Oryctolagus cuniculus: one gene and its partner. The protein of the gene in region 2 purifies or fractionates together with the protein of the main gene of each other region. This does not show direct contact. Links are inferred from orthologs where the notes say so. Each region holds a gene or a part of one and is shown on either strand. Other genes may lie near its edges.

The links.
Region 1: the proteins of ASF1A (region 2) and UBN2 purify together in Homo sapiens (affinity purification with mass spectrometry; 3 studies listed by BioGRID and IntAct, counting the BioPlex papers as one, with this or other methods). This does not show direct contact. The link is inferred for Oryctolagus cuniculus from reciprocal best matches to the Homo sapiens genes ASF1A and UBN2.

Annotation. Positions count from the first base shown.
Region 1 is NC_091434.1:184,736,038-184,743,451, reverse strand, and holds the start of UBN2 (ubinuclein-2), read left to right. Parts: upstream 1-3,148; 5' UTR 3,149-3,497; coding exon 3,498-3,944; intron 3,945-7,414.
Region 2 is NC_091436.1:51,458,739-51,464,469, forward strand, and holds the end of ASF1A (histone chaperone ASF1A), read right to left. Parts: exon of another isoform or gene 5,467-5,731; coding exon of another isoform or gene 5,438-5,466; intron 5,432-5,437; exon of another isoform or gene 5,012-5,431; coding exon of another isoform or gene 4,917-5,011; intron 2,973-4,916; coding exon 2,796-2,972; intron 1,727-2,795; coding exon 1,514-1,726; downstream 1-1,513. UniProt on the Homo sapiens protein: Histone chaperone that facilitates histone deposition and histone exchange and removal during nucleosome assembly and disassembly.

The sequences.
Region 1 (7,414 bases), on a different chromosome or scaffold from region 2:
TGGAACAGAAAACATGATCTGGAGACACAGACATACAAAAAATTGTAAGAAACAGGTCAGTGCTGTGATACAGAGGGTTAAGACACCACCTGCAGTGCTAGCATCTCATATGGGTGCTGGTTCAAGTCCCAGCTGGTCCACTTCCAATCCAACTCTCGGCTGACGTGCCTGGAAAAGCAGTAAAAGATGACCTAAGTGCTTGGGCCTCTGTACCTGCATAGAAGAACTGGAAGAAGCTCCTGGCTCTTGGGGGCCTGTCCCAACTCTGGCTGTGGTGGCCATTTTGGGGGAGTGAACGAGCAGGTGGAAGATCTTTTTCTCTGTAACTCTGCCTTTCAAATAAATACAAAAGAAAGGAAGAAAGAAAGAACTAAGCAGAAGATAATATGAGCCATTAGGTAAAACAAACATATAGGGGTCAGTGCTGTCGTGCAGCTGGTAAAGCTGCTGCCTAGGACGCTTCAGATCAGCACAGCTCTGGCCATGTGGCCATCTGGGGAGTGAGCCAGAGCATGGAAGATCTCTGACTCTGCCTGTCAAGTAAATAAATCTTAAAAAACACACACAAACTGGGCCAGCACTATGGCTCACTTGGTTAATCCTCCGCCTGTGGCACCGGCATCCCATATGGGTGCCAGGTTCTCGTCCCGGTTGCTCCTCTTCCAGTCCAGCTCTGATGTGGCCTGGGAGGGCAGTGGAGGATGGCCCAAGTGCTTGGGCCCTGCACCTGCATGGGAGACCAGGAGGAAGCACGTGGCTCCTGGCTTCAGATCAGTGCAGTGCCTGCCGTAGCGGCCATTTTGGGGGTGAACCAATGGAAGGAAGACCTTTCTCTGTCTCTCTCTCTCACTATCTAACTCTATCTGTCAAATAATAACACACAAATAAATCAGTCCTCTATCTGCTGGTTCACAGGCTGGATCAGGCTGAAGCCAGGTGCCTGAAACTGCATTATGGTGTCCCATGTGGGCGGCAGGCACCCAAGTGCTTGGGTCATCTTTTGCTTGGTCCTCCTCTGCATGGTCCCTCTTCTGCTGCGTCCTCCTCTGTGTGATCCTCCTTTGCTTGGTCCTCCTCTGCTGGATTCTCCTGTGCTTGGTTCGTCTTCTGCTTGGTCCTCCCATGTTGGGTCCTCCTCTGCTTGGTTCATCTTCTGCTTGGTCCTCCTCTGCTAGTTCCTCCTTTGCTTGGTCCTCCTCTGCTGGGTTCTCCTGTGCTGGGTCACCCTTTGCTTGGGTCATCTTCTACTTGGTCCTCCTCTGCTGGGTTCTCCTGTGCTTGGTCCTCCTCTGCTTGGTTCATCTTCTGCTTGGTCCTCCTCTGCTTGGGTCATCTTCTGCTGCGTCCTCCTCCGCTGTTTCTCAGGAATCAAGACGAAAGCTGTGCCCGGAGCAGAGCCTCCAGGACCGGACTGGCACTCCCATATGGTTTGCCTGGTTGCAAGTGTCAGGTTGCGCTGGCCCCTGGCTTTGTTAGTCTGCCACAGAGACAATTTCACTAACTCGTCACATGAGAGCGAACCCTGGACCTACTAGGGATTTGTGGGCGACACCTCATCGCCCAGGGATCCCTTGGCAGGCAATCCAGCTGCCGTTAGCAGGAGGCTTGGGGTGATTTCCAGTGAGCGGCCTGCCTGTCCGGGACTCCTCGAGCCTCGGAGCCTGCAGACACGGCGCTCTCGCCCCAGGAGGCCCCATCTTCCGCGCGCCACTTCAGGTCCCCGCAAGCACTCTCAAAGCGCTGTGTGCTGGTTTCAGCACTTCAGGCCTGAAGCACGAGCCATAGCCGTTCCTTTCTTGCTTTCAAATTTCCGAATTAAGTTCCTTTCACGATGGCATAGGGAGACGTACATAGCACACTCCTGCGAGCGTGGAGCATTCTCCCCAACGCTCGCACTCTGGGAACCGGAGCTTCCTGCCTCTCCCTCAGCTTCCCGCATCTCCCTCGGCTTCCTACGTCTCCCTCAGGTTCCTGCCTCTCCCTCAGCTTCCTGCCTCTCCCTCAGCTTCCCGCATCTCCCTCGGCTTCCTACGTCTCCCTCAGGTTCCCGCTTCTCCCTCAGGTTCCTGCCTCTTCCCCGGCTTCCTTCCTCTCCCTCGGCTTCCCGCGTCTCCCTCAGGTTCCTGCCTCTTCCCCGGCTTCCTTCCTCTCCCTCGGCTTCCCGCGTCTCCCTCAGGTTCCTGCCTCTTCCCCGGCTTCCCGCGTCTCCCTCGGCTTCCCGCATCTCCCTCGGTTTCCCACGTCTCCCTCTGCTTCCCGCGTCTCCCTCGGCTTCCTGACGGTCTCTCGGCTTCCCGCGTCTCCCTCGGTTTCCCACGTCTCCCTCGGCTTCCTTCCTCTCCCTCGGCTTCCCGCGTCTCCCTCGGCTTCCTGACGGTCTCTCGGCTTCCCGCATCTCCCTCGGTTTCCCACGTCTCCCTCGGCTTCCTTCCTCTCCCTCGGCTTCCCGCGTCTCCCTCGGCTTCCCGCATCTCCCTCGGCTTCCTTCCTCTCCCTCGGCTTCCTGACGGTCTCTCGATTTCCCGCATCTCCCTCGGTTTCCCATGTCTCCCTCGGCTTCCTACGTCTCCTTCGGCTTCCTGACGGTCTCCCGGCTTCCCGCATCTCCCTCGGTTTCCTACGTCTCCGGCTTCCCACGTCTCTCTCGGCTTCCTGCCTCACCCTCGGCCTCCTTCCTTTCCCTCGGCCTCCTTCCTCTCCCTCAGCCTCCTTCCTCTCCCTCGGCCTCCTGCCTCGCCCTCAGCTTCCTCACCCGCCAGGCCGAGCAGGCCCCGCAGGAGGGGCGGCGCCGGCCGGCGGAGCCGGGGCCACTGCGGCCGCCACCCCCTGCCCGCTCGGTCCTCGGGGCGGCGGGGGCCGGTCCTCGCGCCCCTCAACCCTTCCTCCGTGACTTCCCCGAATCACCAACTCCCCTGAGCCGAGAGCCGGCGCGACGCGGCGGGCGGGCCCCGGCGCCATGGCGGCCCGGCTCGGCCCCACGCACGACCCCGACACTCGCGCCGGCCCAGGCCGGAACGCGCCTGCGGTTTCCGGGTGCGACTAGGAAGCGGCTCCGGAAGCCCAGACCCCCTCCCTGCGAGCCGGGCGGCCGACGGCGTCTCGGTTTCCAGGGAAACGGGCCGTGTCATGACGTCACTTCCGCCGAGCCGTGCGAGCTCCAGGCCGCCGGGAAGAAAAGAGGAAAACGGAGCCACAGCCACGACGGAGGACGCGAGCGTCTCCTCTCTGCGCATGCGCCCGCTCAGCGGCCTGCTTCTATTTATGTGGGGGATCCAACATGGCGGCTGCGGCGACCCTGGCGATGGCGGCGGAGCCCATCAGAACGTAGTGGCGGGGAAGGGGGCACGGTCCGCACTCACGGTGGCGTCGGCGGAGACGGCGGAGGGCGGTGGCGGGAAGAAAAGCGACGGAGAGCGCAAGGAAGGGCGGGCAGGCGGGCGGCGCGGCGTAGAAGCGCGCGCCGGCTCGCGCGAGAGCAGAGGGCCAGAACAGTGGGGATGGCGGAGCCGCGCCGAGTAGCGTTCATTAGCCTGTCACCGGCGAGGCGGCGCGAGGCCGAGTTCCCGGGGCCCGAGCGCGAGCCCGACTGCCCCCGCGAGGCGCCCCGGCCGGAGCCGCAGCCGTACCGCGAGCCGGCCCGCGCGGAGCCGCCGGGCCCCCGGGAGCCGGGCCCCCGCTCGGACGCGCAGCCCCCGGCGCGGGAGAAGCCGCCGCCGCCGCAGCGCGAGGGCAGCCGCGCCGAGCCGCCCATGGCGCCGCCGCAGCGCGAGCCCCCGCGGCCCGAGCCGCCGCCGCCGCCGCCGCCGCCGCCGCGGGAGGCGGCCTCCCGGGCCGAGCCGCCGCCGCGGGAGACGGTGCGCCTGGAGCTGGTGCTCAAGGACCCCACGGACGAGAGCTGCGTGGAGTTCAGTTACCCGGAGCTGCTGCTGTGCGGGGAGCAACGGGTACAGAGGACCGGGGCCGCGCGGGCGGGCGGGCTCCCGCGACACGCGGGGGCCCCGGGGCGCTCCCGCGGGCGGGAGGGGAGGCGGCGGACACGCCCCCGCGGCGAGCCGGCCGGGGTCGCCCGCGCCCCGCGGCGAGGCTGGCGGGCGCCGTGGCCGCCCAGGCCGGTGCGTGCGCGCGGGGCGCGGCGTCCTTGCTCGCCCGGTGCGGTGGGCGCTCTGCGCCGGCCCTCTGCGGAGTGGGTCCGTGTGGGGGTCGTGAGGGGCGGCCCCTGCCAGCCTTGCTCGGCGCCCGCCCGGCCTGTGTGGCACTCGTTGAGACGTCCAGGTTGGCGGACGTTGCTGGGCCGGGTAATTTTCGTAGAACGATGAAAAGCCCAGCTTGGATTTTCTACAACTTTGCTGGAAATCCAGAGGTGTGCCTTTGGTGAGACTGGACAATGGGACAAGGCAGGCTTCTTGGCCGCTGTGGTCTCTGTCGGGTGCGTGGTGGTCTGCCCTGTGCGAGGTTAGCCTGGCGCAGCCCACGGACTGCACAGCCCCTGGTTCTGCCTCACCCTCGCTGTCTTTATGAACTAGGTAGGAGTGAGTAAGCGCTTGGTCACAAAGTATCACATTATTTAACAATGTCTCTGGGTTTGTTTTATGGCCGGGTGACTGACGATTATTTATGAACACTGTTGCATGGTCAAATCGTTAGTGATTCCGCCAGATAGAGCACAGATTTGGGCACTTCCACATCCCACGTCTGCCCTTTAGACTCACTGTCCCGCCTCTTCATAGCTTCTCCCAAAAGAATACTGAAAATAGTGGGTTGTAGCATTCCTAAGTAGCTTGTATTCTACCTGCTAATCTAAGTCGGTGTGCAGTCTTTGTAATTTTCCTAAATTGCAGATGAGAAGCGTTATCTTTGGGTCGAAACAGTAACAGCTAACATGCACTGATTTTGTACTATATGCTAATACAGCTGTAAGCGCTGGACCTGGTTTATCTGGGTTAGTCCAGCAGAACTCCATAGGTAAGAACCGGTATCCCTGTGTTACAAATGAGGGTAACGCAGAAGGTTGTATGTAATTTTTCAGTTCTTCTTTCCGCAGGAGTACTGATTCTTAGTAAACGTTTTTTGTAATAAACGTGTATACTTGAAATTTAGAGGATCCCACCAAAATGAAGTAAAATCAGTCATTTAACAATGTAAAGACCTCCATGGTGATCCTCTTTATGCTGTAATATTAATGCTATCAGACATTAATGATATGTATTCTTATTTATAGAAAAATTCAGAAGGCTAGTTTTTTCACACCCGAGTTTTATCACGTGTCACCCAGTGACAGGCTGTGTTCTGAGAGGCGCACTCGTGCACGCATCGCAGCATGTTTGTGCAGTTAGGTGGCACAGTGTCCTGGGCACCTGGGACACTCGGTGTAGGCGTCCTGTGGTGAGCTGTCAGTGGTTTCATGGAATAGGGGAAAGGTGAATCGTTCCATTTGTTGTGTTTACTTGATATATGCTATCAATTTAGGGGTTTATTTGCCCAGTTTTATTGTTTATCTAACTGTGTATCTCGTCATACTCCTGAACAAACAAAAAATGTTTTATGCAGGGCACCTTTGCAACAAAGATTTGCCAGTTTTTTCCTGTGGTTACTCTCAGTGAATATATTGCTTACATAAGTATAGAAAATACCTTTTTAAGTAAAATTGTCATAGTTCCATGAAAGGTAATCCTAGATGAGAGCCTGAGAAAGCACAGTGTTAACATTAGAGTTGGATAGAAATGGATGATCCCCAAATTTGGTTTTTCCTCCCTTTTCATTTGGAGAGCTCATTTATTTTTAAGGATGTAGTATTTTCAAAAGAACTTTAAATTTGAATTAACTATTATTGAACAGTGTATCTTGTAGCAGGCTGAAGTAGAAAGCTGAGGAAGAGATCTTGTAATATGAAGAAAAATGCCTTCACGTTTTTGAAGTAGCTGTCACTGAACAAGATGTTGGCTCTCGGTCAGTGTGGTGCTGGGGGCCACCTCTGTCGGGGTACATTTACACCAGCCCCCTTGAACACTAACAGTCAGAATTTCGTATTCTCTTTATGAATGAATAAAAGCACAACTGAGTAAACGTGCACTGGGAAAATGTGAGGACCCAGCTTCCAGCTTGTCGGTGTGCAGAGTGCCTAAGCCCTTGTTAGTTCTCGCTGTTCTGTGCTGGGTTGAGGGGCGGGGGCGGCTGAGCCCCGGTAATCTCTGTCCTCAGAGTGACGAGTTCACCATTCCAGGCCAAAGCTGAAGGAGCGTGCGTTTGTCAGTGATTGATCCACAGAAAAAAAGACATTTTGACTCGTAAACAGAATCAGTTAATAGATGGTACATTTGTGGATACAATTAATTGAGGCTGTACTGTGAAAAGGGAGGGAACACAGTGTTCCTGTAACTGCACTGTTGCGGAGTTCCGTGGCCTGCCACTGCTTGGCCGGCTGCGGATTGCGGGTGAGTTGTCGAAGGTGTCCTGAGCGTGCTGGCAGTGAGTTCGAGTCCAAGGGCACAGTTACTGCCTAGTTGTGCATGTGGTTGGTTGGCCATTTCAGATTTTTCGTTCACTTGGAGAAGCAGCGATTCCTGATTCCTCTTGATTTGAGGTTGGGGAGGGGTGACAGTGATTCACTTACTTGAAAGGCAGCATGACTGAGGTACATCTTCCATCTGTGGGTCACTCCTTCAGATGGTCACCAGAGCCAGGGCTGAGCCAGGAGCCCAAGCGCTTAAGCCATCGGCCATCGCTGGCTTTCCAGGTGCTTTACTGGAGGTGGATTGGAGGCAGAGCAGCTGAGACTCAAACTGGCCCTCAGATAATGGGATGCTGGCCTTGCAAGGGCAACCTAACTGTGCCCGACACCAGCCCTTGGGGGTGGGGTGGGGTTGTTCTTAACTCTAAAAGAAAAATAAGTCAAAAAATGTTATAGCCTGTCAATAATAAAAGACTTTTGGAGCCTTTGTAAAGCATGTAAGATATTTCAGGCACTCGTCTTTAAGTGAGAGAGGCATGTGTGTTCCTATCTGCACACATACGTGGGGCAGACTGGTGGTAAGACCTGGGGTTGGACTTCTCCGTCATGGGAGGGAACAGTTCGTGAAGACAAGGCTTGGGGGCTGCTGGCTGTTCTGTCTGAGGGCTCAAGCTAAGGCCTAGTATGCTTTTTTGTTTGTTTTTGACAGGCAGAGTGGACAGTGAGAGAGACAGAAAGGGCTTCCTTTTCCATTGGTTCACCCCCCAGTGGCCACCGCGGCCGGTGCGCTGTGGCCGGCGCACCGAGCTGATCCGAAGCCAGGAGCCAGGTGCTTCTCCTGGTCTCCCATGGGGTGCAGGGCCCAAGCACTTGGGCCATCCTCCACTGCACTCCCTGGCCACAGCAGAGAGCTGGCCTGGAAGAGGGGCAACCGGGACAGAATCCGGCGCCCCGACCGGGACTAGA
Region 2 (5,731 bases):
ATTAATCACTGAGCTTTTTTGAAAAGTATTTTATTTTTATTGTTTAACATTTTCTTTTAATTGCAATTAGACAAAAATGAGACTCTCAAACTTTTAACAGTCAGAAGTATTTTAACTTTTAAAATCTATGAACTAGTTAATGGACAATATTTTAATAATCTGGTATTAAATTTCAAGATTTAACACTTAGCGAAACTTTGCTTCACAAATTCACTTTTATAGCACTTATTACAACCTAGAATCCATATTTAAATGCCCTTTCCTTTCCTGAAAATAAACTTTTAAAAGTGCAGTATAAAAGTTTTAGATATGAAGGCACTGCATAACCTGCATCATATGGCTGTCGTGCTTTGCAGCGAGAATAAAAATAATATTCTACCCTTACTTTAATGGAGCATAAAGAATTTCTGAAGAAGGACCTAACTCTCAAAGAAAACAAAACTTTTGGCCCATCTGGTTTATGAATTCCTTTCCAAGACTGCTTTTCAACAAGTTGTAATCTGGCAAAGCTACCTAGAATATGTCCACCATGCATAATATCTGATCTTATTCTTCATGACTGTAAGAGGATATGGGACAAGGTAGTATTTCCAAAGCAGTAAATTATATATTTTGATAAAGCTAAAATACTTTTCTAAGTCTACTTTTTTTTAAGTACTGCCAACAATAGATGACTACGAGTTTTTAAAAGTTCTCACTATTTTTATAAATCTAATGAGCAGATTTGAGCCATTAAATCTTGTATCCTTAAACTTAGGAAGTATTTGTTCTTGACTTGCTGAATTCACTGGGCAGTAATGATGAGCAATTCAAGAAGTGCTCTGATGTCTTAATTTTGTATAACCATTATAAAAACAAACACCATAGCCCAAAGAACTTTATAAACATGTAGGTACATTCGTTATCTTAGAAACTAAAGCAAATGCTGCCCCACATTACATTAATTGTAATAGTAACCATAAAAGGCTTCAGGGTGGCCTGAAAAGGACAGATCCTAAAGTCCTTGGTAGCATATAATTCATTTCAATCCCCCTTTTAAAGTCATGCCAAAAAGGAATGGAAAGTTTCCCCTTAAATTAAAACCACACTTTATGTTTTAACAGGAAGAAACATCTTAGTTGAAGTGAACTTTCTTTTTTCAAAGGCCAGAAAAAATAATGTTCCAAAGATTACTGTCCGAGAGGCTAAGACATCTTCACAACCTGGTCTAAGGATTTATATTTTTCTTTATAAGTGCTTTAATTACATATAAAGGAGAAGAAAAATAATATATATGCTTTAATCAAATTAGTTTCAGAACAAATAAAATAACACATTAGAGAAAAAATTACTTAAAAATAGTTGTATTTATATTCCACAATTTGCTCAAATACTGGTTTTCTTATAAACTTTCTACAGGATGTTTTTAAACAAATTCTTCACATTTTGTCTTGACTATGTACTTACGGAATTTCAGGGAAATAGTTCTGTGTATTTTTAATAGCTTAATTTGTACTAAAGGGATGGCAGGTGGTCACATGCAGTCCATGTGGGATTCTAACATGACATTTAGTGAGTTTTCTGACGTGGACCATCCCTTTGAGGCAGAAGGTAATGCATCTGTTGACAGAAGTGACTGTAGATTTGGATTACTGCTCTCTGCATCTTCCAGTTTTTCTGTGTTGTCTTCCCAATTAATGTGGAATCTTGTGACCCTGGGATTAGATGCCAAAATGTTCCTTTGAAGCTAGAAGAAGGAAATATATAAATGGTAAACATTACCAAAGTTTAATCACCCTATGCAAATAGATACTTAAAGAAATGGGTCCTTTATGTTAGCACTCCTGAAGGGTTACGTTCATATACAGAAGTATAGGACAAATAAAGCACTTTAGCATAACTAATAAACAAGGACTAGGACCATAGCAATTATTTTGGCTTAATAGGAACAAGATATGGAGAATCTGAGGGAATTCATTCAGATCTTTTACTATACTATGAAATATCTATTCTTCTACTCTTGTACTTCTATTTCCTAAGAAGGGAAAGAAAATTTCTCCCAAATACATCTTCTTGCTATTAGTGATTTCCTACCTTTTAAATATTATGGTTCATTTTTGGAAACAATAGTCTAGTTTCTTCTCTTTTCTGTTGTACAAGTTACCAAACAGATAACCAATAAATTTGATCTATGAAAGGATTGGCCAGGATGAAAAACATTCTAGCCTTATTACCAGAAAGTTGAACTTTATTCTACTGCCATGTGACTTTCCTTGTATTGCCTGGCAGACAGAGGGCCCTATTCAACTTCACTTGATTTGCACCCTCTCAAAATCACCAGTTAGTAAACTGTTACAGTTCCCAATGAAAAACCATAAAGGTACTAAGTATCCTTGAGAATAATGAATCACAGATTTCAGCTTCTCAGTGTTTAAGCTATTTGCTATCACCTGAAATATTTAAGACCTTTACTTTATCTGCTGTTCCTACAGAATAAAACTAAAGCATATAGGTACTTTGATATAAGCATAGATAACTGTTTATATGAAAAGCAGACACAAACACAGACTTCCATGTCATAAAAGCTGAAGTGAACATGATCTATGGGAAATGCCATATAAGAAGCAGTAAACAAGTGCCCATTTCTTATCAGAGATACTTAATGACTTGCATAGAGAAAGGGTTTGAGGTCACCCATGGTAAGGGAACAATGATTAGTTTGCCCAGCTGGCCCAAAGACATCAAATTTACTTTGTCTCAAACTGCCTAAAAAATTGTATAGTAACAGTAATTAAAAAGGAATAGTAAGACATTACCTTAGAAAAGTCTGGTTTTACTGGCGGATTTTCCCTTAATTCTGTCTCAGTATATTCATTATTTACATAGTAGCCAACTCTAATAAATTCTTGACCTCGATAGGTACAAGTAATTAGCACAACTGTTACGCCTACTGCATCAGCATCTGGAATGAGTCCTGGATTAGGTGCATCTGCCTGGAATAATTTAAAAGAAACATACACAAAAGGCTGTTAATGGCAGGCGAGATTGGAGTTGTAGTTACCCTGAGCACTTTCAGTTGAACATGGAACAAGAAAAACTTGGAAATCACATTGGGAAGACAAATGCTTACATTTGGGATTGGCCTAAAGGTAGATATATAGCTCATGTTTCTCCACAGTATCCTCAAGTAGCTTCATTAAACTTCCAGAGGGAAATAATTCTGGTTACTGTGTGTGTTGGTTCATGAGGAATTATGCAAATTCATTATAACTTTTTATAAAATACTTAAACAATTTAATCAATAGTGCTATTGGTTTTAACTTTTTCCAGTTATAATTTTCAGACCTAAATTAGTAAATACTAAATTATTTCCACACAACCAGTTGGCAACAAATGTTTTTTATACCAGTTTTCCTTTTCTCCCCAGGACACTTATATTCTCGTACCTATACAACCACCTCTCACAAATATTCTAATAGTAATTTAGTATAAAACTGAACACAAATAGCTACACAGCAGATTTTTGTTTTTCTTTTTAAAAAGATTTTATTTATTTGAGAGGCAGTGTTACAAAGGGGAGAGAGAGAGGGAGGGAGGTAGGAGGGAGGGAGAGAGAGAGAGAGAGAGAAAGTAAGTCTTCATCCGCTGGTTCACTCCCCAAATGGCTGCAATGGCCAGAGCTGGGCTGATCCGAAGCCAAGAGCCAGGAACTTCTGGGTCTCCCAAACAGGTGCAGGAGCCCAAGCACTTGGACCATCTTCTGCTACTTTCCTAGATCATACCAAGAACTGGATTGGAAGAGGAGCAGCTGGGACACAAACTGGCGCCCACATGGGATGCTGGCACCACAGGCAGAGGCTTAGCCTACTACACCACAGCACTGGCCCCTGCACAAAACACATGAATAATCCTCTGTTGTGAAAAGCCATTTTACTGGACACTAAGATTTAGTGTGCTGTTTAAAATTCATATTATGAAAATCCAAAGGAAGTAAAGATTATTTTAGGCAGATGTCATCAAAGACATTTGTTTTTGAATCCTGTTGAACCTTGAGGAATGCAGAAGGGAAGCTAGACAGCTAGAGGAGGCTAGGGATGCTAAAGGCCATGTCCCTAGTAGCACACCAAACAATAAGGAGACGAATGGATGTAAGGAGCCACAGACTGAGGCATCCAACCTCGATCTAAGGCGAACATCCAGGGTAGTAAGTGAATGAAGTCCCAGTCAGCTAGCTTACTGCTGCTAGGCCACCAGGAACCTGTGTCCTACATCTAGTCATTCTCACCAGTTCTTAATTCTAAAGGCCAACTTCATGTCTTCATCTCTTTCTGAAATACTGTTTAACTTTCTAACTGGTCTCCCCAGTAAAGTACTGGTTACACTGCTACCAACATTAGCTACCTAAACACAGATCTTATTCCTCTCTCTTAGCCTGGTTTTAAAACCTCAAATGATGATTTTCATTTCTAAGGGGTAAAATCTCACTTCTTGAATTTCATTTATAAGACCCTTCAGTTTGTCTCCAACTAACATCTCCAGTCATGTCTTAGATACATGAATTACCTAGGCTCTTTAAAATGTGATAATCTTTCTCACTTCTGTACCTCACACATACGTTCCCTGTTCCTTTGACTCGAAAGATCCTTTCTTTAAGGACCTTTTGACACTTAGAACAAATGAATCCTTCTCAGTGAAGCCCTGTGCCAGTCAGAAGGTGGATTCAGTGGCTTCCCTTTTTATGCACTTACATTGCTTGACACAAACCTCTACTAATGTGTGACCAACAATCTAAATATATTCTTCAGTCTTCCCTGTTAGGCTCTAAGCTTTCTGCAGGGCAGGAGTCCCATGCAACTCATCTGTATGGTCTCATGTAGAGCACAACCACAAGCACTTACTACTTTGAAATTCATTCATTGCTCGGTTCTATCTTGTAGAAATTTATGATCTCTTTGGAAAGAGCCTATCTTGGAGAATCTTCAGCATCCCAAGCACCATTCCTGCCCCACAGAAGTATCTGGAAGTGGGTTGAGATAGTTCAGTAATGCTGTCCTCCATATTGCTACCCATACCTTCAGCAAATTGCTTAGACATGTTTGTGTTTTTGAAATTGTTTGCCAAAGGATTCAGCTTGAGCAAATATGAGTAGAGAGACCTGCAAGCTGGATAGCTCATTGAGGATACAGAAGTAATGAATAGAGATAGCTGACTGCAACCAACAATACTAGGCTGATATCTAGACATCTTCTTGCTACCTCTGGACCCATTCACAAGAAAGGCATCTATTTTCTGAGATGCAGAATCATGGCAGACTAGAAAAATATTATGTCAATGTGCTTAAAACACAAAGCATAAACTGGGGGCTAGTGCTGTGGCATAGCGGGTAAAGCCTCTGCCTGCAGTACTGGCATCCCATATGGGCACGGTTCTAGTCCTGGCTGCTCCACTTCCGATCCAGCTCTCTGCTATGGCCTGGAAAAGCGGTAGAAGATGGCCCAAGTCCTTGGGCCCCTGCACTTGTGCAGGAGACCCAGAAGAATCTCCTGGCTTCTGGCTTCGGATCGGCGCAGCTCCAGCAGTTGAGGCCATCTGGGGAATTACCCAGCAGATGAAAGACCTCTCTCTGTAACTCTGCCTTTCAAATAAATAAATAAATCTTAAAAAAAAAAAAAAAAAAAAATTGTACTTCAGTCTCTCTGTGTTGACAGTGATGAATTTTTTAAAATGCACAGGTGAACATGTGGCCTAAATT